Stegostoma tigrinum: one gene and its partners. The protein of the gene in region 1 purifies or fractionates together with the protein of each later gene. This does not show direct contact. Links are inferred from orthologs where the notes say so. Each region holds a gene or a part of one and is shown on either strand. Other genes may lie near its edges. The genes, in order: cpsf3, ube3d and fip1l1a.

Region 1 (7,116 bases):
TCCTCATGACAAGCTCAACATCACCGGGATCATTTTTGTAAACTGCCTCTGGTTCTCCTCCAATGCCAGTACATCTTTCCTTAGATATGAAGCCTAAAACTGCTCACAATATTCCAAATGACCAGAGCCTTTATACAGCTTCCACAGTACATTTCTGCTCTTGTATTCTGTGAATGCTAAAATTACACCTTCCCTTCTGACTGCCAACTGAACCTGCATATCAACCTTAAGAGAAATCTGAACTAGGACTCCCAAATCCCTTTGTGCTTCAGATTTCTAATGGCATTCTGTTTAGAAAACAGACAGCATCTCTATTCTTCCTTTGAAAGTGCAAACCTCACATATTCCAACACTGTATTCCATGTACCACTTCTTTGCCCACTCTCCGAGCCAATCCAAATCCTTGTGCAGCCTCCCCACTTGCTCAACACTACCTATCCCTCCACTTGTGGGCCATCTGCAAATTTAGCAAAATTGCCCTCAGTTCCTTTGTCCACATTGTTAATGTATAACACGAATAATGTGCAGTCACAATGCTAATGCCACATGTTACCAGTTGCTGTCCTAAAACAAGACCTCTTAAACCCCACTACTCTGCTTTCTGCTCGTCAGCCAATCCTCCATCCATTCCAGAACCTTGCCCCTAACACCACAGGTTCTTAAATTATTTAGCAGCCCTCCATCCAGCACCATGTCAAAGGCTTTCTGGCTAAACAGATCACATCCACTGGGGCTCCTTTGATTTTATTGTTACCTCTTCACCAAAATTCTCATAGATTTGTCAGGCATGACCTCCTCTTGACGAACCCATGTTGACTCAGCCCCATTTTACCATGCATTTCCAAGTACTCCGCAATCTCATCCTTAATAATAGACTCTCAAATCTTACAGGGTAGGAGAAAATAGGAACCTGCTCCCCAGAAAAAATTGTGTATGTCAGTCAATTAAGATTGGAAAATTGACAGATGTTGCACAGGAAAGATACCAAAGTACGTGGAATAAAGACAAGCAAAGGAGTTGAGGTAAAGATCAGCAATAATGTAACTGAATAAGACAATAGGTTCATGGGACAGATGGGTTATTTCTATCCCTGTGTTCCTACAAACAATAATATAAGCCTTTTGTTTAAAATGTGTGAAAAGGAGAGCAGCATTTTGGTTATAGCAAAATCTTAACAAAACTAGCTCTCAAGTCCAAATGTCAATGATCTGTTTAACAATCTGATTATATATATTATTCCCATCTCAGTCAATGCAACAACTTTTTATTTGTCATCGAGAGTAACTCAACTAAATACAGCGATTGGGTCAATGAAAACAAGGTTCAAATGAAATCTCCTTTTGAAGCCATGTTGTAATTCCTTAATTCTAAAATAGAAAGCTGTAATACTTACTGACTAATAAGGAGAAGATCTATCTCCGCAGGGTCGATCAAATCAATGTATGGAAGTGCATCCATTCCTTCAAGTCCAGGGTGGATTCCACAATCCAACTGAATACGATAAAATTCAGGTGAAGGCGAATCAATAGGCCATCAAAATCAATTCTCAAAGCCGAGTTTAGCATGTTGTTAACGTGAGACCAGATAGACACATAACACCAATATAATCTAATACAAAACAAAGCTTCTTAATCGGATCACATTGCCACCAATTAACCTACAGTTTGAAGAAAGTTTGCAAGCCATATTTTTAATCAACATAGACATCATTAACAAATATGTGTATCAGTCAGTTTGCAAGAAATCAATTAAAAAATATTATATAAAACTGTAACAATTGTTTAATTTCTGCTAGCCAATCAATGATATTTACTGACAACAAAAACTGAAGTCAACTAGCAATCCTGAAGCCTACTGTACACATTTACAATTTATTAAATCATACCATGATTTTCCTTCCTTTGAACTCCACAATGATGCATGATCTTCCCACCTCTTGACCAGCTCCTCTATTAACAATTCATAAAAAAATTCTCAAACTTATGTGATGAAAAGCAATGTCTTCTACTGCATCAATTTGAAGAATTATGAATTTAAAAAAGTTGTCTGATGACTTTACAGGCCAGTGCATGAAGTACAAGCATGGATTTGGTCATCACACATACAAGGTTTAAAGTTTTAATTTGAAAGATAAATTCCTGCTGCAGAGATCTCTAACATCAGAGATAACTGAACATCAGTTGCATCCAATATGCAGTTTTCTCAAAAACAGCAGGCTTGTGTGTATTGGGAGAGATACAGGGGAGGGAAGGAAAACAGAGATGGGTGTACAGGAGAGGGCCGAGGGAGATGGGGAATATGTGGGAAGAAGCTGGGGGGGTGGGAAGAAGCGGGGGGGGGGAAAGAAGCGGGGGGGGGGGAAGAAGCGGGGGGGGGGGAAGAAGCGGGGGGGGGGGAAGAAGCGGGGGGGGGGGAAGAAGCGGGGGGGGGGGAAGAAGCGGGGGGGGGGGGAAGAAGCGGGGGGGGGGGGAAGAAGCGGGGGGGGGGGAAGAAGCGGGGGGGGGGAAGAAGCGGGGGGGGGGGGGAAGGGGGGGGGAAGAAGCGGGGGGGGGAAGAAGCGGGGGGGGGGGGAAGAAGCGGGGGGGGGGGAAGAAGCGGGGGGGGGGAAGAAGCGGGGGGGGGGAAGAAGCGGGGGGGGAAGAAGCCGGGGGGGGAAGAAGCGGGGGGGGGGAGAAGCGGGGGGGGGGAGAAGCGGGGGGAGAAGCGGGGGGTGGGGGGGGAGGGAAGAGGGGGTGGGGGGAGGGGAGGGGGGTGGGGGGAAGGGGTGGGGGGAAGGGGAGGGGGGGTGGGGGGAAGGGGAGGGGGGTGGGGGGTCGGGGTTGTTGGTGGGGGTCGGGGTGGTGTTGACGGTGTTAGGGGGTGGGGGTGGGGGTGGCACTCACAGCGGGCGGATCAGCAGCTGGTCGCTCTCCTCCGCCGGGACAAAAATCTCCGCTTTCCGCTTAGCCGCCATTGCCGGCCTGGGCACTTCCGGCCCGGCCCCAGTAAACCTCCGGCTGGAAACCGCCTCCACCCCTCACAGGCCGGGAGGTCGGGGGACACAACAAAGTGAAACACTCGAGTCTTGAGAGGGGTTTCATCACAAAGTGTCATATTGTGCACTGAGATAATCGTGTTATTTCTGTAAGAAACCGGGTAATTTGTCAGGTAATTCGTTTTGTTTTTGAAGGTTTTAATATATAGAACGTTTTATACATGTTAAAATCGATGTGTTTTTTTGAGATTCAAATCGTTGGGCATGTTATATGTTGGTGCTCGTCAGCAGTGACTCTCTTTTATAATTAAACTCTTGGTTCCACTTAACCTTTAATGCAGGCCATTCAGTGATGTGATGTCTTAAAGGTAAATGTAATGAAGTACTAAACTGACTGGCTGTACTTAAGGGATGATCTGCACTAGGATCAGAGCAGGTACATCCAAGGATATTGAGGGAAGTGAATGGCGGTCTCCTTAGATACCAGGGTGTTGCCAGACGACTGAAGAATCCTAAGTGCTACATCCTTGTTCGAACCAGAGTGTGCAATATACCTAGTAATCACAAACTGGTTGATTTAACTTCAGTGGTGTTGAAGGTCTTCACGGAATATGGTGTGGATAGAGTCCATTCGGCCCTTTGAGTCTGCCCCAACCCTCCAAAAAGCATCCCATCCATACCTACTCTGCCCCGCCGACCCTAACACCGCATTTATGATGGCTAATCCACCTGCCTACACAATCCCCATGCAGACACGGGTGGAAAGTATAAAACCCACATAGACAGTCACCAGAGGTTGAGTCAACACTTGGTCCCTGGTGCTCTGAGGCACTGTGCTAACCACTGAGCCACTCTTAGGAATAGTAACTGAGGGCACAATTAGCACCACTTGACAAATGTTGATGAGTCAGGGAAAACCACCATGGATTTCTTTAAGAGTAGCAAATGGTAGTCTAAAGAAAGGTAATTAACGTAACCGCACTGCTTAAGGGAAAAGAAGGGAGAGAGAAAGCAGGGAATTATAGATCAGTTAACTCAATGTAGATGGTTAGGAAAATGTTTGAGTCCACTATAAAAGATTTAATGGGAGGGCATTTTAGAAAACAGTGACAGGATTGGACAGAGTCAGTATAGATTTATAAAAGGGAAAGCATGCTTGACAAATCTACCGGAATTTTTTGAATTGATAAGGGGGAGCCAGTGGATATGGTTTACTTGGGCTTTCAGAAGGCTTTTGATAAGGTCATAGAGTCAGAGAAGCCATACAACATGGAAACAGACCCTTCTGTTCAACTCATCCACGTCAACCAAATGTCCTAAATAAATCTGGTCCGTTTCTCTCTCAACCCTTTCTAATCAGGTACCCTTCCAGATGCCTTTTAAATGTGTATTTGTACCAGCCTCCACCACCTTTGGCAGCTCATTCCACACACGTAGCGCCATGAAAAAGTTGCGCCTTAGGTCCATTTTAAATCTTTCCGCTCTAACTTTAAACTCCTCTAGTTTTAGACTCCCTTACCTGGGGAAAAGACCTTGGTTATTCACCTTATCCATGCCCCTCATGATTTTATAAACCCCTATAAGGTCACTCCTCAACCTCCAACACTTCAGGGAAAATTGTCCCAGCCTATTCAGCCTCTCCCTAAAACTCAGACACTCCAATCCCGTCAATGTTTTTCTAAATCTTTTCTGCACCCTTTCTTGTTGTTCAATGGTGGGAATCATGGTCCGTGGGAAATAGAGGGAGAGTGAGTGCTGGCAGTCAGCCTCAGCAAGAAAGAGATCAGTACACCAGACAACAGCACAACCCTTGTTGGCAAAGGTTTGATCTGAGAGCATGGAGTGCACTCAGTTCAGAGGGAGATCGGTTCAAATGCGTGAGCGGGGCAGGGGAAAAAAATTAGGGTGACCAATGTGATATTGATAGTTCTCAGTGAACAAATTGTTCACGGTTAAGGAAAGGAGGGAGGGGTCCAGGTAGAGGGAGAATAGAATTTTGAGAAGATTTGTAGCTCAGGTTGAGGTTCTGGATGTGAGTTTGCTTGCTGAGCTGGAAGGTTAGTTTTCAGACGTTTCATCACCTTTTTTTTATTTGAAAAAATATACTTTATTCATAAGATGCACAAAAAATAAAACATATTTATACACCTACCCAGTCATGCAAGCTGCTCCGGGTTACCCAGGGGGTACGTACACCAACTAAAGGAAAAAAAAACAAACAAAGAAGAAAAAAAAACAAAGCAAAGAAAATACCCCGGCAGTCGTCACTCCGCACAGTCCCAGTTGGCCCCCTGACCAGTTGGGGAAGGCGCCAGCTGGGCCCAGTTACCAGATAGGGCCCTTTTTTCTATTCTGGATGAGGGGTTTCATACCGTGGTCTTTCCCCACCGTGCCTTGGCGGCGGCTGCCCCAAGCTTCAGCGCGTCCCTCAGCATGTAGTCCTGGACCTTGGAGTGCGCCAGTCTGCAACACTCGGTCGGGGTCAGTTCTTTCAGCTGGCAGACCAGCAAGTTGCGGGCAGACCAAAGAGCGTCTTTCACTGCATTGATGGTCCTCCAGGCGCAGTTGATGTTGGTCTCGGTGTGCGTCCCAGGAAACAGCCCGTAGAGCACGGAGTCCCGCGTCACGGACCTGCTCGGGACGAACCTCGACAAATACCACTGCATCCCCCTCCAGACCTCCTGCGCATAGGCACACTCCAGAAGGAGGTGATCGACAGTCTCGTTCTCCCCCCGCAGCCACCTCGAGGGCAGTGTGCGGTGGCGCAGAGATTCCGGGCATGCATAAAGGATCTCACTGGCAGAGCCCCTCTCACCGCCAGCCAAGCAATGTCCTTGTGCTTGTTTGAAAGTTCTGGCGATGAGGCATTCTGCCAAACGACTTTGGCAGTCTGCGTGGGGAACCACACGACGGGATCCACCCTCTCCTTTTCCCGAAGGGTCTCAAGGATACTACGTGCTGACCACTGCCTGACGGCCTTGTGGTCAAAGGTGTTTCCCTTCAAAAACTTCTCCACGAAGGACAGGTGGTACAGGACGGTCCAACTACTCGGAGCGTTCCGCAGCAACGAGGCCAGGCCCATCCTTCGCAACACCGGGGACAGGTAGAACCTCAGTAAGTAGTGACACTTGGTGTTTGTGTACTGAGGATCTACGCACAGCTTGATGCAGCCGCACACCGAGGTAGCCATCAGGGCGAGGGTGGCGTTCAGTACGCCCTTTCCCCCATTTTCCAGGTCTTTGTACATGGTGTCCCTGCGGACCCAGTCCATCCTCGACCCCCAAATGAAGTGGAAGATGGCCCAGGTGACCGCAGCGGCGCAGGTCCAGGGAATAGGCCAGGCCTGCGCCACATACAACAGTACCGACAGCCCCTCGCACCTGACAACCAGGTTCTTACCCGCGATGGAGAGGGACCAGAGCATCCACCTGCCCAGCTTCTGCTTCAATTTGGTGATACACTCCTCCCAAGTCTCAGTGCACGGCCCAGCTCCACCGAACCAAACACCCAGCACCTTCAGGTAGTCTGTCCTGACGGTGAAGGGGATGAAGGAGCGGTCGTCCCAGTTCCCGAAGAACATGACCTCGCTCTTACCCCTATTGACTTTGGCACCCGAGGCCAGTTCAAACTGGCCGCAGATGTCCAACAGCCTACTCACCGACTGACGATCGGTGCAGAAGACGGCGACGTCGTCCATGTACAGGGAGGTCTTGACCTGAAGGCCTCCGTTGCCTGGGATAGTCACGCCCTTCAGGCTCACGTCCTTCCTGATGGATGGGGCGAAGGGCTCCACACAGAACACGAACAAGGCAGGAGAGAGCAGGCAGCCCTGCCTGACTCCAGATCTGATGGGAAAACTGTCCGATTCCCACCCGTTGATCGAGACTGTGCTAACGATGTTGGTGTAGAGCAGCCGGATCCAATTGCGGATGCCCTCCCCGAACGAGGACGTCTCTCATGTAAGCGTGAGAGAACCTGTCGAAGGCCTTCTCCTAGTCCAGGCTGACGAGGCAGGTGTCCACTCGCCTGTCCTGTACGTAGGCAGTTGTATCCCTGATGAGCGCGAGGCTCTCAGCGATCTTCCTGCCTGGCACAGCACAGGTTTGGTCAGGGTGAATCACCGACTCCAGGACAGACGTGAC
Region 2 (8,083 bases), about 76 Mb from region 1:
TCGTTGACTTACTATGTTCATTGTTACACTTAGTACATCCATTTTTACTACCAGTGACTGTTTTTCACAATTACCCACTCATTCACTCTCCTTCATCCCCAGTGAGACAAACAGTCATCCAATTATACCTTTGCGCACACAACAAACATTGGATATGCTTCCATTGGGTATGCTTTTTATAATATCCGAAGCAATAAGTAATAAACCTCATCTGATAAAAGCTTCAAATAAGAAAATGTACTGTGGATGCTGGAGATCTGACATAAAAACAGGCAATGCTGGAAAAACTCAGCAGGTCTGGCAGCATCTGTGAGGAGAGAAACAGTTAATCTTTCAGGTTCAAAGCTACAACTTCACAAATAACTTAAAATATAGTTAATTTTCCTACAAATTGTGACTGTGGGAGCTTATTTACAATAGTCTTTACATTTTTGAAAACTGAAACAGCCTTTTTATTGTTGGTTCCTATCCAAATTGGTGAGTTCCCATTTCTGATAAAATTTTCAAGCAGTTTAATTTCAACCAGGTTGTTCTTCTTTATATTCTACAAAAGAGGAACAGAATTTTTGGATTTTTGATATGTCTCTTTTTTTAAAGCAGAAGTAATTGCATGACAGCATTGAGTTTAAACCGTTTCCCCATCCATATCGAAACTAACTAAACTTTAAGGGTTGTATTAGACTAAGCATAGTATGCAACACTCACATATAATCATTCTTCAAACTGCTAAGCACTAGGTTAAAGGAACGGTCAGTAAGTCAAAATTAGATTTTAAACAAGCCTTCTTTTTCGGAAGAATAATAAATACTCAAAAGCATTCCAGTTTCTCAAACCTATCTGCTAAATGTGTAAAAGCATGAGGAAAATAAATTCTGAAAGATCATTAAGTAAGATCTATTGGCATCAATCATAGGAGTATTTGCATTTTAGAATGCAACCTGCTAAATGTTTTTAATTGTGGAAAACCCCAATCAAAATGACCAAGAGTAAAATGAACAACAATTGATGAATTGAGAAGTATATGAAACAAATTTGTTTATTTTCTTCAAGACAAAGTCTGCCAGAGAATTACATTGTGCAGGCAGCAACTTGCATTCATATGGCGCCTTTAAATAGATAGAATAGTTACAAAGTACTTCACAGAAGCATAATCAAGTAAAATATTGAAATTACATTTGACTTTTCAAATATAAAATATTGGCATAAATCTACACATGTTCTATCAAGACAAGCATTGAGTCCACAACATTTGAAATAATGAACAGGAACAGTTTAAATACAATATCTTAATGATTGTAGTAATCCAAAGAGTATTTGAGTTTGAGTAGTAATTATTGAATAATCTAATAAATCCAGTAATTCCTTAGTTTGCAGCCGGAAAAACAATCATGAGATAAAAAGAAAAGAAATGCATCCTAAATCATAACTTACATCCAAAAAGCATAAATGGTATTGATGTAGATATCTGAACCTACACTGTTTGCTTGTTAAGCCTGTCAAACCAGATTTGGAGTGTTAACATACAAAGCTTTCATAGCACTAATCTCCTCACTGAAAATAGACTGCTCTTAATATACTTATTGATCCCGATCATACTACTCACCACTGTTTTGTTAGATCAGCTAAGTTCAACAATGAATTAAGCCATAGATTTAAATCAATAACAATGACTCTTTGATGATCCTTGTCCAAGTTGGCCTTTCAACTGGTCAAGTTCAAATAAAAACAGCCCTCACTACATTTCTCTATATGCTATTTTTACAATGGTACTAACCAACCAAATTTAAAAGCCTCATTAAAATGGAATTTGGGCGAAGCACATTAAGCATTCAGAAGTCACATTTCAGAAAATACCCATTGACTTATTTGTATCCTGGTTTACATAAAGAATTATGTCCTATTGTAAATGCTCCGTGATGCCCCGGGTTTGTTTCTCCTTCATCGTGACATCAATTGTCAATCTATAGTAAAAATGTGTGCACTTATTGTGAAAGTTTTCACAATTGAAAGATCATTTGATCCAAAAATCCATCAGTTCTGTCTTTTCTGCTTTCAGACAGTTGAGCACTGGGAAAGATGCAAAGGCCGAAGCATTCTGCAGGAGCCCAGCTATACAGTTAAATAGGGTAGTAGTGAGGGACCTGAAATATAGGGAAGTCTGGGATGGAGTTTATTGAGAGTTGCTTTTTGGAGCTAAGTATGTCGAGGGACAGAGCTTTTGGAGCAATTGGGAAAAGGATTTGGGAGCTCTTTGCAAGCGGGGAAGAGAGAGACTCGAAGTTGGGAGACCGACAAGTTGGCAAGATGCAGGTAATGATCAACAGAATGTAATTCCTGAGAACTGAGATTTACCCCATTAGAAACAGGTTGTGAAACCTCCGACAGTAACGTTTTTGACACACAAGAAGCCAGAACGTGACCCTGAGGGGCAAAGTGGAAAAAGAGAGAGAAACCTCTGGAGACCAGAGAATGTGATCACCTGGAGTAAAGTTTGTCACTGCTAGGAGCAGAGAGTCACCCCTGGGAACACGGTGTAACCCCTGTCAAATACAGTTTGTGACTCTCTGGAACCTGAGAGACTCTGGGAACAGAAGTGTAGCTATCAAGGGCAAGAAGTCACTGAAGAAAGGACGTGGTTATAGGGCAAGAAGGAGAGTTGCAATGTAACATGTAACATCAAGAAAAGAAAACAGGAGAGTGGAGAGGTGGTGGAATGGGGGCAGCTTTGAGATAATATACATTAGAAAGACTGAAAAGTTATCAAGGTAAAGCAACCCCAAACTATATTGGAAACTGAAATGCAGCCATATTGCTCAAGCATTTGCAAGGGACCACTTGGTTATTGTGAGGTGAAGACGATGAAAGATATTGGAAAATGGGAAGAATTAAATTCTGGGTAAGATACTGCATTTGTTTTTGAGTGCTTAATTCTAGTGTTTATTATTTGATCGATTTTTAAAAAAATTTTCTAAAGGGTGGGTCAGCTTCTCAAAGGAATTCAAAATATGCCTATGTTTCATTTTGTCATGAGCATCACAGGCAAAGTCAGCCTTTGTCACTCAGAGATAATGGGAACTGCAGATGCTGGAGAATCCAAGATAACAAAGTGTGAAGCTGGATGAACACAGCAGGCCAAGCAGCGTCTCAGGAGCAAGATGCTGCTTGGCCTGCTGTGTTCATCCAGCTTCACACTTTGTTATCTTTGTCACTCATTCCCACTTTCAGGGTTTTTAAAGATAATGAAATGTGAGGCTGGATGAACACAGCAGGCCCAGCAGCATCTCAGGAGCACAAAAGCTGATGTTTCGGGCCTAGACCCTCCCGAAACGTCAGAGGGTCTAGGCCGGAAACGTCAGCTTTTGTGCTCCTGAGATGCTGCTGGGCCTGCTGTGTTCATCCAGCCTCACATTTCATTATCTTGGATTCTCCAGCATCTGCAGTTCCCATTATCACTGATACAATTCAGGGTTTTTTAATGTGTTTTTATGAATGGAAGTCTTTTCACGTACAGTGAAATAATTGTTTATGATTGATTGCATTTTCTCATGTACTACGTAACAGTCAGGATACAATTCGGATTAACTTTACCAGGGTAAAATAAACAATACAAATTACAGTCATTGTCAGAAAGTAAGACGAAAGGACGGAGAAGTAAAATCTCTGCATGCTTACAACCCTCACATCTTTACGCCAGAACACGTAAATTATGTTCCCATAATTCTGCCTGGCTGACAGTAAATACTGTCTGTGCAATAGCTCTTGTGTCTTTGTAAATGACTTCCTCAACTGTGCACCCACTTTCACGATTACCCAAAAACGCAACAGCTATTTTTTTTTCATCAAAATGAATAAGTGGTCATTTTCACCTTAGGATCAACTTGCCAAGTTTACACAATTTGTAGATGTACTCGGGAGGAGATCTTTTTTACTAAAGATATAATCTTTTACAAAGGTATAACTGACTTTTGTAATTAATATGGCAACCGTGTGTTCTGTGCTGACCCATGTGTCCTGCACTCAATTGTACAAAGCTTGGTTCAAAATTATATGTAATTAAGGCATGTTGAAGTTAGTATTCTACACATCCACAATCTTTTCAGTAAAAATTTTAAACATTCTTCAAAGATTCCTCGGCAGTAGCTCCATAAATCAAATAAAAGCAAAATATTGCAGGTGCTGAAGATTTAAAGTAAAAGTAGAAAGTGCTGGAGAAGTTCAGCAAGGTTGGCAGTAACGGTGGAGAGAGAAAAATAGAGTTAACACTTCGAGTCCAACATGACTGTGAAAGTTCGGGAAAGCGTTTTTAGATTTGAAACGTTAACTCGGTTTCTCTCTCCACAGATGCTGCCAGACCTGCTGAGTTTCTCTGGCATTCTCTGTCTTTGTTAATGCAATAATTCATGTTTGGTTTATTTCTTTAAATAACAGGTAACTGTCCACCAAAGTCTCTTGCTCTAAAGCCAGCTTTCATTCGCAATATCAGAGATTGTCTTGCTGTTGCTCTGATTTTACAAAGTGCACATACTTACAGAAGACCTCAAAGTGCCATTTTTAAGTCCTTTTCGTTGAGGCTGATTCGTTTCTAAAGGACGGCATCCACATTTCAATCGTTTTGCCTGCTTCACAGATCTCTTTTCACACCAATCTCTGCAATGTTTTAAGATTAGGTAGCTCATCTCACAAATGTTTAGCAGTATGCACAGAACCGAGGAGGCAACCATGCAGTAGAGGAAGATGGTCTTTTCTGTTGGCCGACTGACAAAACAATCCACCACATTAGGGCAAGGTTTGATCTCACACTTCAAAAGGTGAGGAATAATGAAGCCATCGTACATCCATGCCAGCACAAACAGGAAACTGAACTCAACTCCTGTTTTGAACACTAGGCTAAAGAAATAGGTCCACCACAGACCTCCATCTATGTTCCCTTTGTCTTTGTACAGCTTTTTTTTGTACTTCTTCTCTCGGTGTTCCCTGTAACCTACATGCATGACAACCAGAAGAGAAGGGGTAGAAACCAAGATAAGTTGCAGTGCCCAAAGTCTTGAGTGCGACACTGGAAAGAAGTGGTCGAAACATACATTTTCACAACCAACTTGCCTTGAGTTGCAGGTAAACTCCTTCTGTTCATCATTCCAGACACGTTCTGCAGCCACCACATAGATAAGGACTCGGAATACGAACATAACACTCAACCAGATTCTCCCCACAACAGTGGAGTATTTATTCACTCCGCTCAAAACATCACGGAGTAAACTCCAGCTCATGGCTCCTCAATAACTTGATGATGAATCTACAGAATAGAGAAAAGAAATTTGAAATTAATGCACTGGATGAGTTATAGTTATTTTAATCAATCTTATCAGACTTGCATGACACATCTCTGGGGCAGCTGGGCCTTGAACCTAGCCCACTCAGCCCAGGCTTAGGGAGTCTACCACTGCACCCCAAGGGACATCGCCACAATTTGCACTGTCTTAGTTTAATGGCAGCACTTATTTATGTAGAGCATCTAATGAAATAAATCTCCCCAAGAACCCACACAGAAGTGTTGTAATACTCGCATAAAGGAGTATTGGGCAGTGGACCAAAGCATTGAGAACACAAGAGATAGGAGCAGGTGTAGGCCATTCAGCCTTTCAAGTCTGACCTACCATTCATTAGGATCATGGCCAAGGCTCAACTCTCCTTTCACCAGCTCTTCATTGCCCACAACTCCCCCAGATTTCAAAAATCTATCTACCTTCTTTTTAAATACTTTCAGTGATCCAATCTCTGGGGTAGAGAATTCCAGATGTTCTCTGGCTTCTGTGCAACATTCCCTCTAAGCTGCTTAGAGGCAGCTGCTCTGATATTCTGCACCCAACAGTCAGCAGTGGCATGCTGATCCTGTGGTTGATATCCAGTTCCAGAAGCCATGCTTGGACCCCTGAGAACCCATGCAGCTGTTAAGGAAAATTAGAGGGAATGCCATCTCTGGGAGAAGAAAATCCTTTATAAATCTCTATAAGGTCACCCCTCAACCTCCTGTGCTCCAGCGAATAAAGGTCCCAGCCTAACCAGTCTCTCCTTATAAGTCAAACCTTCCATTCCCAGACACATCCAGGGAATCTGTTTTGACCCCTTAAACCATTAATTCCTTCGTGGTTTACCTAAGGATTATTTGTGCAAATTTTGAGGGCTGTTCCCCTGGTTTTCCATGGTAAGTTGTGAGGGTTTTCCAATCTGCAATTCTGGTGGGCAAGGTTCAGTGCTAGCAGCTGAAACTCAAAAACATCTGCCCTGATTCCAACCATTTTGAATACTATCTCAGTCCTTTATCTGTCCATCTTAATTTGAGTGCCTTTTCCTTTCGAACTCAGTATTGAAGATCAAAGTTGTGATATGAAGGTGATATGTAAAATCATAGCAAGGCAACAGTTGGAGTATTGATTACAGTTTTGGTCTACACGTTACAGGAAGAAGGTGAAGGCAATGGAGGGAGAGTATAGTACAGACTTTCTTCAATCAGGAAGGGCCTCCTCAGAGAGCTGCTGGCCAATCAGACACTGACAGGCCTCCAAATCAGGAGCAGTGGCTACAGCCAGTACTGTACTGCTCCTTCACCTGAGATCGTCACTGCATCCCTAGAGAGAGAAAAGAGTGTATGGGATATGCTGGAAGGAAAGGAGGTACCAGCTAAAAGGGTAGGAAGGCTGTGGCCAAACAACTGAGGGCTGAGGGGAACCCATCTTAGAAAGCCCAGGAGCCTGATAAGAAGGGACAGCTGTAACCTCTCTCCCCACTGCAGCCTGTCTCCATCCCCCACCGCTTGCTACAGTGTTCTAGTGAAGACCAGCGCAAGCTGGAGGAACAACACCTCATTTTCCGCTTGGGGACCCTACAGCCCGCTGGACTCAATATCGAGTTCAATAATTTTAGGGCCTAAACTCACCCATGTCCCAGCCCCCACCCCACACACCAGGCCTTGTCACCACATAGCCTGCCACTACACACCCCCTGTTATTAGTCACTAACGGTCCCCATTAACAACTATTCACCCTCCCAGCCTGATCGTTAGCAACTCCTTTGTTTGTCCAACTGTCTTTCTCTCTCTTTGGGGTCTATCCTATCATTTACTCCCTACCCCACCCACCTCCCTATTTTCTGCATATAAACTGACAATTTCCCAGCCACCATCAGCTCTGAAGAAGGGTGACTGGACTGAAATGTTAAGTCTGTTTTCTCCTCCACAGATGCTACCAGACCTGCTGAGCTTTTCCAGCAACTTCAGTTTTTGTTCCTGATTTACAGCATCCACCATTCTTTAGGTTTTTATTATTATTGTAGATCCTACATTTTAAAGAGATTAATATACAGTGGTTTAATTGAGAGTTCCAAACAAAAATGCAAATATATTTTTGATTTAGTCTAATATAGGATTCCTTAGTCAAGATAATAAAGTGTGAAGTTGGATGAACACAGCAGGCCATCAGCATCTCAGGAGCTTTTGTGCTCCTGAGATGCTGCTTGGCCTGCTGTGTTCATCCAGCTTCACACTTTATTATCTTGGATTCTCCAGCATCTGCAGTTCCCATTATCCCTTCCTTAGTCAAGCTTGTTTTTTGTAAATTGATACTGCATTTTAAATTAATTAATTACACAGATGTATTTTGTTGTGGCTTATGATGGAAGTTGCTTTGCATTGATAAATTTATACAGACTCTGTAAATAGAAAAAGCTGGTTTTGGTAGTCAAATTTTAATTCAATGCAGAGTTTGTTGACATAGGTCTGCAGCAATATCAAGCAAATACATCATTCAATTTCATTGCATTCTCTTTTCATATGTTTCATTAATACACCCAAAGTCAAATCAGAGACAAATTACATCTTTCCCTACGATGAATATTAAACATAAATGTTGAAGAATGAAATATTGAACATGCAATTTTTTAACCAGGCAGAATTGGCAAATTCTGTGTAAATCACCTCACTGTAACCAAGGAACTCCTTCATGATCAACAACATATTCAGTTGTTCTTTTTCCATCTAACACCTGCTTCATTCTGTCAGCAGTCGTGCTGTTGAATTTGTCAGTTTAAG
Region 3 (7,105 bases), on another chromosome or scaffold:
TGATTGCAGCGCTGGTTTCTGCCCTGCTTGTTATTTATACGCCTCACTAAAACTTCATCTGAGGCACACTGACGATGTTACCTAGCAGGGTGATGAAATGTCTGCAATAAAACACATCCACTTGGCAAGCAAATCTACAACATCACCCAAAAGCACCACATTAGTTTTCAAATTGACTGTTTAATGTCAACTTTCTTGGGTACCACCACCACCCGCCCCTCCCACCACTGTTACTACAATATCAGGCCGTTTATTTATGTGCAGAAATGTCCTCCAGTTAAACATTGGAAGAACTGAAGCCACTGCATTTAGAGCCTGCTCCAAAGTCTATTCCCTTTGCTGTCATCTCCAGGGCTCCAGTTCTGAGGAAGTTTCGGTGGGCCCAAAACAGTAACTCTGCTTTCTGTCCACAGATGCTGACATACCTGCTGTGTTTTTCCAACAATTTCTATTTTTGTCTAACCCTCTCCCTGTCAAGTCTGAAATTAAGGGAATTTGTTTGCAACATTAGTATCACATTTGATTCAAGATGAACTTTCAAAAATTTCCATCTTCAACTTCACCTCTCACATAATGTTGTAACCTGCATTCATGTCTTTTGTACTTAAAAGGTCCAACTACTGAATGCACCGCCAACTGTTCAAGTACATCCTACCCTCGCTAAGCTCGAAGTCATCCAGAACTCTGCTGCTTGACTCATCTTGCATCATTTAACTTTTCTATCATCTCTGCTTACCATTCGTTTGCCATCAAGCAAATGTTTGACTGAAAAGTTTTCATACTTGCTTTCACATTCCTTCACGTCCCTACCTATCTCCCCCAACCTTCCTAAACTGTCCAAGGCATCTGCCTTCCTGTAACAGTGACCTTTACTTCAAACAACTTTAATCCACTTCACTATTCATCTCTGCTCCTTCAGTTGCCAAAGTCCCAGGCTCTAGAATACAGTGGATGAGACAAACCTTGGCGTGCATGTCCAAAGATCCTTGAAGCCAGAAGGACAGGTAAATATGAAACTTAAGACAACGCATAGGACACTGGCCTTATTGACCTAAACACAGTTGCGGGTCATCGTTCAAGTAGATGCTGGGGATTCTGCCATAACATGAAAGTTGCATTCTTGTGCAACAATGCATCATAGAAAATCACAGGGCCTCTGGAGAAAACAGGGTTGGGTCAGACCATCAAAATATAACACTCCAAAGTCACTCAAAAGCCTAACAGAAAAGGACAGAACAGTTTGAATAAATGTTGAATGCATACGTAATAATGAAATAAAAGTAAATTTAACGCCTTACCTTGAAAAAAACATCAAGATGACTTGATGGGGAGGAGGTTTTGAGGTTACTCTGTTGTTAATGGAGGGGCTAAGGGTCATCATCATAATCATCATCACCACCACCAACACCTTCTTCAGGCACAGTTATGGTTGCAGGGTTAGGTCAAAAAGACATCCAGTTTTTGCTGTTCTGCCTTTTTTTCTTCTTTCATGCAGAAGCTGTTCATAGGCTGCCACTTTCCACAAACTGCTACTCTGCCATGTTCTGCGCTATAATCATTGTCCTCTAAAAGTTGCAACTGCTTCTCAATTTCCCTTAGAATAGAAGGCAAAACACAAGTGGGAAGCTCTCATGGTGCTGCATCTTGGACTTCACCTTCATCCAGCTTCCACCTCCCCCTCACAACTAGTTGCTGTCTTCACAGCGGGACTCAACCAGCAGAACACTGTCCCTGTCCCGCTGAGTAGCTGCAATCAGCCTCTTAAATGCATGTCTTAAATAAAAAGCTGCAATTGCACCCTGGTCCATGGGTTGAAGTAGAGGAGCTGTGTTTGAGGGCTTGAAATAGCACTTTTTTTTTCAGAAAGCTCAGCAATGGTGGGATGATGGCTTGGTGCCTAGGCCAGGATGAGGAGAATCTTTAAATCCAATTTTTTTCTTGTAATACTTTCTAAAAAATCAATTGGTCAGCGATGAAATCACATTGTAGCCAACACAAGTTGGTGTTTTAGAAATAGTGTCCCCCCCCCCATCGTCAGTCATGTCATAGCCAATTCGTGTAGCCAGAACATGCGTTATAGGAGAATGCCCTTGAAGGAGAGCTTTTCCTCCTTAGTAGAGAGATCAATACAAGGATGGTGGGTATCTGGAATTCACTGCATAGAAAGATAGTAAGAAACAGAAAACCTCAAGATATTTACTGGAGTTCATTTACATAGTCCCACAAGAGGAAACAACCGCTCAGTTTCTACCCTATCAATTCTGAGGAAGGGTCACCGGACCTGAAAAGTTAACTCTGTTTTCTTCCTCACAGATGCTGTCAGACCTGTTGAGCTTTCCCAGCAACTTTGTTTCTGTTCCAACCTGTCAAACCTCCTGAGAATCTCACTTCACCCCAAGGATCACTGCCGGCCAATGCACCTCACCCCAAGGATCACTGCCGGCCAATGCACCTTGAATTCTGTACAAATTGATCAACCCGACCACACAGACACAAAACAGAAGTGTCTTTACCAAAAGATCTGAATGCAGTGTTGAGGAGTAAAGGACCCCTGTAAAAATGTAAGCAATCCACACGGTGAAAGTGAGAAAAAGCGGGGGCTGAGAACTTCTGAATTTTCGCTCACCTGTCAACAGGCGCGGCCTCTTCTTGTTTGTTTGGGTCGTTTTCATCTGAAATCGAAACGGAACATCGGCTTAAAGAGGAGGCCAGGAGGAAACGATGGTGATCAGAGGTCGCGCTGTAACATGCCGGGGCCGGCTCTGACAGTACCACCTCGCCCAAGCCCGGGGCCCACACTCACCTCCGTACAGCCAGTGCTCTTCATCCTCACCGAGCCCCGCGCTGCCTGAGCCGGCCTCCTTCGGCACGTTCTCCGCCTCCGCTGACATGCTGCCGGCCGGCCGCCTGCCTGACCACCCGCCCGGGGAAATGAGATTAACTTCGCCGTGCACTGGGCCCAACTCCTGATACGCACATTCACTGCCAGCCTGACCTTTAACCCAGGAAATGACCCCCGAAGCCGGTACCTCTGACCCGGAAACCAGCCTCTGGCACTGACCCTCAGTCTAACTGCTTGGTGTCAAAGTGAAAGCAGGTAAGTAGGGAGAGAGAGAGAGAGACTGTGTGTTACACAGGCAATGTTCAGTGCTGTACTCACAACATTTCACATGCTTTTGGTTCGTGACTCATCATTACCTTGGATTTTGAAAACATACTCCAAAAGCAAAAGAGACAGTGAGAAGTGGAGTCAGAGATGTTCCTCCTCCTCCACCTCCACACTGTGTCACCTCCACCAGCAAAATCCCGCGAATCATGGGGATAGGAATGGAAAATGATGGAAAGGCTCGGGCCTGGCAAGTATCTACGGGGAGAGAAACAGTTCTCTTCCCGCAGAGGTTTTCGGACTGGCTAGGTATTTCCAGCATTTTCTCTTCAATGTTAAAATACATTGTCGGGGTAACAAGTTGTAGAAAAGATGATGCTGGAAGGGCAGATAGATTAGTCCCCGGTATGATGCCAAACTTTTACAGTGAGGGGAAAAACCTTTGATGTATATCATTGTTCTCATGTAGGAAATGTAGTAGCTAAACCATATCGTTATAGCAACAATGATAATGGGAACTGGAGAATCCAAGATAATAAAATGTGGAGCAGGATGAACACAGCAGGCCAAGCAGCATCTCAGGAGCACAAAAACTGACGTTTCGGGCCTAGACCCTTCATCAGAAAAGGGGGGGTGGGGAGAGGGGGAGGCGCACCAAAGATGGAGAGAAAACAAGATAGGTAGGGAGGGGATAGGTCAGTCCAGGGAAGATGGACAGGTCAAGGAGGCGGGATGAGGTGGTAGGTAGGAAATGGAGGTGTGGCTTGAGGTGGGAGGAAGGGATGGGTGAGAGGAACTACAGGTTGGGGAAGCAGAGATGGGATGGGCTGGTTTTGGGATGCAGTGGGGGGAGGGGAAGAACTAGGCTGGTTTTGGGATGCAGTGGGGGAAGGGGAGATTTTGAAGCTGGTGAAGTACACATTGATACCATTGGGCTGCAGGGTTCCCAAGCGGAATATGAGTTGCTGTTCCTGCAACCTTCGGGTGGCATCAGTGTGGCACTGCAGGAGGCCCATGATGGACATGTCGTCTGAGGAATGGGAGGGGGAGCTGAAATGGTTCGCGACTGGGAGGTGCAGCTGTTTAGTGCGAACCGAGCAGAGGTGTTCTGCAAAGCGGTCCCCAAGCCTCCGCTTGGTTTCCACAATGTAGAGGAAGCCACACCAGGTACGATGGATACAATGTGCCACATTAGCAGATGTGCAGGTGAACATCTCCTTGATATGGAAGGTCATTTTGGGGCCTGGGATGGGGGTGAAGGAGGAGGTGTGGGGGCAAGTGTAGCACTTCCTGCGGTTGCAGGGGAAGGTGCTGGGTGTGGTGGGGTTGGAGGGGAGTGTGGAGCGGACAAGGGAGCTGTGGAGAGAGTGTCCAGCCCATCCTGTCTCTGCTTCCCTAACCTGTTCTTCCTCTCACCTATCCCTTCCTCCCACCTCAAGCCGCACCTCCATTTCCTACCTACCACCTCATCCCGCCTCCTCGACCTATTCCCTCTATACCTCCTCACCTATACTCTCCTCTCTACCTATCTTGTTTTCTTTCCATCTTCGGCCTCCCCCTCTCTCCCTATTTATTCCAGTTCCCTCTCCCCATCCCCCTCTCTGATGAAGGGTCTAGGCCTGAAACATCAGTTTTTGTGCTCCTGAGATGCTGCTTGGCCTGCTGTGTTCATCCAGCTCCACAATTTGTTATCTCGTTATAGCAACAAGATAGTTGACTTACCTAGAGTGTTGATTTTGTTTAAAGAATGTACAATAAATAGAACACCTGTGAATTCTCGTGTGTTAATATCTTGAATCTTTTCTGTCCACATGACAGAACAAACAAGACCTCAGTTTGGCATCCTATCAAAAAAAAAGTCACCTCCAACAGTATCGTGTTTACTTTGGTGTAAATTATGAGCTCAAGTCTCTGAAATGGTGTTTGAAACTGATGACTCAGGCAAGAATTCAAGGAAGGGTTTATAAAGATTTTAGCATATGTTAACATAAAATTTCCAAACTAATAATCTGTACCACCTGGAAAGACAGACACCAGATGCATATGAACATCACTACTTGCAATTTCCTCTCCAAACGCCATGCTATCCTGATGTGAAATGAAATCTCCATCCCTTCATCTGTGCATTGACCTACACCGAATGAACTGTAGTGGTACAGAAAGTCAACTTTCCTTCAACATTTCAAAAATGATTATGCTTGCCTTGCTAGCAACATTCATGCTGTATGAAATAATTGAAAAAAATCACTTCACAATTCTGTTCGCCATTATTGATGCCACTTCTGAAACTCAACATAGAAACAAGAAAATTTACTACCTATATTTGAACAATAATCTGCATCAGTAATGATTCCCAGTTTGTGTTGGGTTGATTAGAATCAAAGATTGTTGGACACATTGAGCAAATGACTGCCATTAATGACTAGGTCATCCATGATCTTATTGACTGGTGAGGGCTAGAATGGTCTACCTCTGCTCTTATTTTATATGTTCATTGATGGTTAGATTGGAGATGCATAGAGGGAAAGGACAGGGAAAACAAAACCAGCCTTCCCTGGATGGTGGAAATAAAAGGTAAGATGAAATGAAAACTACAAAGGCACTAGCTGCAGTCTTTCAATTTTCTTTAATTATGGGGATGGTTCCAGAGGACGAGAGAGTACCGAACCCTTTCAAAAGAAGATGCAGGAACAAATTCTGCAAGTTACAGGCCAGTCAGTTTAACTTCAGAGTTGAGAAAGTTTCTCATTAAGAAATATCAGCAAGGTTTTTAAAATTGTTTTAGACTTAGTGCCTGGACGCAGAGGACAGTGGGGAACAGTTGTTTGTCAAACTGAAGGCTCGTATGTAGTGGAGGTCCCCAGGGATTGTCTTTAGCACAATTGATTTTCTTGATCTGTATTAATGACTTTGGTGTTAAAATACATAACTTAAAAATTTACAGAAGCACACAACCTGGAAGGATAGTGATAATAAGATGTGAGGCTGGATAAACGCAGCAGGCCCAGCAGCAGCTCAGGAGCACAAAAGCTGACGTTTCAGGCCTAGAATTATCACTGGAAGGATAGTGAACTGTCAGAATGGTGATTGTGCCTGTTTTCATGTGTCTTCAGACCACATTTATGTAAGACATCTGAATAACCATGATACTGTCATCAGAACAAAGATGATTTTGCAAGCTATTTTCTGAACATTTTAATTGGCTTTGTTTTCTACTCAACTATACAGCTAAATCATTTTCCAAAACAGGTCAAATAGACAGTGTGTGAATGGTTACAATATGGTCACTTGAGAGGAAATAGTATTTCAGCTCCATAGCATGTGCAGCCTGGCTGTTAGTTCATTTTATCAGTAGAACTAACATGTAAGATCCTTTTTAGATTTGTTTGAACAAACCTGCAGCATATAACTCACCTCCTGACTCCCCAAAGCCTGTTGATCATCAAGAAGGGTCAAATTAATTCTGTGATGGAATACTTCCCATTTGCCTGATGAGTGCACCTTCAAAAGCACTCAAGAAGTGAGTTAGGACAAAGCAGCCTACTTGGTTAGCATCACATCCACAAACTTTCCTATCATTATTGAAGCTCAGTCACAGCAGTGAACACCATCTGTAACATGCACTGTAGAAATTCACCAAGAATCCTTACTCAGCACCTTCGAAACCTACAATAAGATGGACAAGGGCAGCAGATACATGGAAACACCGACATCTGCAAGTTTCCAGCCAAGTCACTCACTATCCTGACTTGGAAATATATCATCACTCCTTAAGTGTCACTATGTCAAAATCCTGGAAGTCCCTATCTGACAGCCTGGGGTGTACCTACCAAATGGATTTCAGAAATTCATCACCTTCTCCAGGACAACTAATGTTGGGTAATAAATGCTGGCATAGCCAGTGATACTCATGTCCCATGAATGAATAAAATAAAATTTTAAAAACATTGATGGTGTTTTCCTAATGCTTTGTAACATTGTTCAGTGATGAATGGGAGG

Evidence for each region.
Region 2: the proteins of cpsf3 (region 1) and ube3d purify together in Homo sapiens (affinity purification with mass spectrometry; 4 studies listed by BioGRID and IntAct, counting the BioPlex papers as one, with this or other methods). This does not show direct contact. The link is inferred for Stegostoma tigrinum from reciprocal best matches to the Homo sapiens genes CPSF3 and UBE3D.
Region 3: the proteins of cpsf3 (region 1) and fip1l1a purify together in Homo sapiens (affinity purification with mass spectrometry; 5 studies listed by BioGRID and IntAct, with this or other methods). This does not show direct contact. The link is inferred for Stegostoma tigrinum from reciprocal best matches to the Homo sapiens genes CPSF3 and FIP1L1.

Annotation. Positions count from the first base shown.
Region 1 is NC_081357.1:115,214,736-115,221,851, reverse strand, and holds the start of cpsf3 (cleavage and polyadenylation specificity factor subunit 3), read right to left. Parts: upstream 3,010-7,116; 5' UTR 2,954-3,009; coding exon 2,883-2,953; intron 1,950-2,882; coding exon 1,886-1,949; intron 1,493-1,885; exon of another isoform or gene 1,492-1,492; coding exon 1,394-1,491; intron 1-1,393. UniProt on the Homo sapiens protein: Component of the cleavage and polyadenylation specificity factor (CPSF) complex that plays a key role in pre-mRNA 3'-end formation, recognizing the AAUAAA signal sequence and interacting with poly(A) polymerase and other factors to bring about cleavage and poly(A) addition.
Region 2 is NC_081357.1:39,205,103-39,213,185, forward strand, and holds the start of ube3d (E3 ubiquitin-protein ligase E3D), read right to left. Parts: upstream 3,062-8,083; 5' UTR 1,604-3,061; intron 1-1,603. Other genes in the region: gap junction beta-7 protein-like, read right to left, coding at 4,509-5,267. UniProt on the Homo sapiens protein: E3 ubiquitin-protein ligase which accepts ubiquitin from specific E2 ubiquitin-conjugating enzymes, and transfers it to substrates, generally promoting their degradation by the proteasome.
Region 3 is NC_081354.1:107,223,205-107,230,309, reverse strand, and holds the start of fip1l1a (pre-mRNA 3'-end-processing factor FIP1), read right to left. Parts: upstream 3,034-7,105; 5' UTR 2,892-3,033; coding exon 2,804-2,891; intron 2,673-2,803; coding exon 2,627-2,672; intron 1-2,626.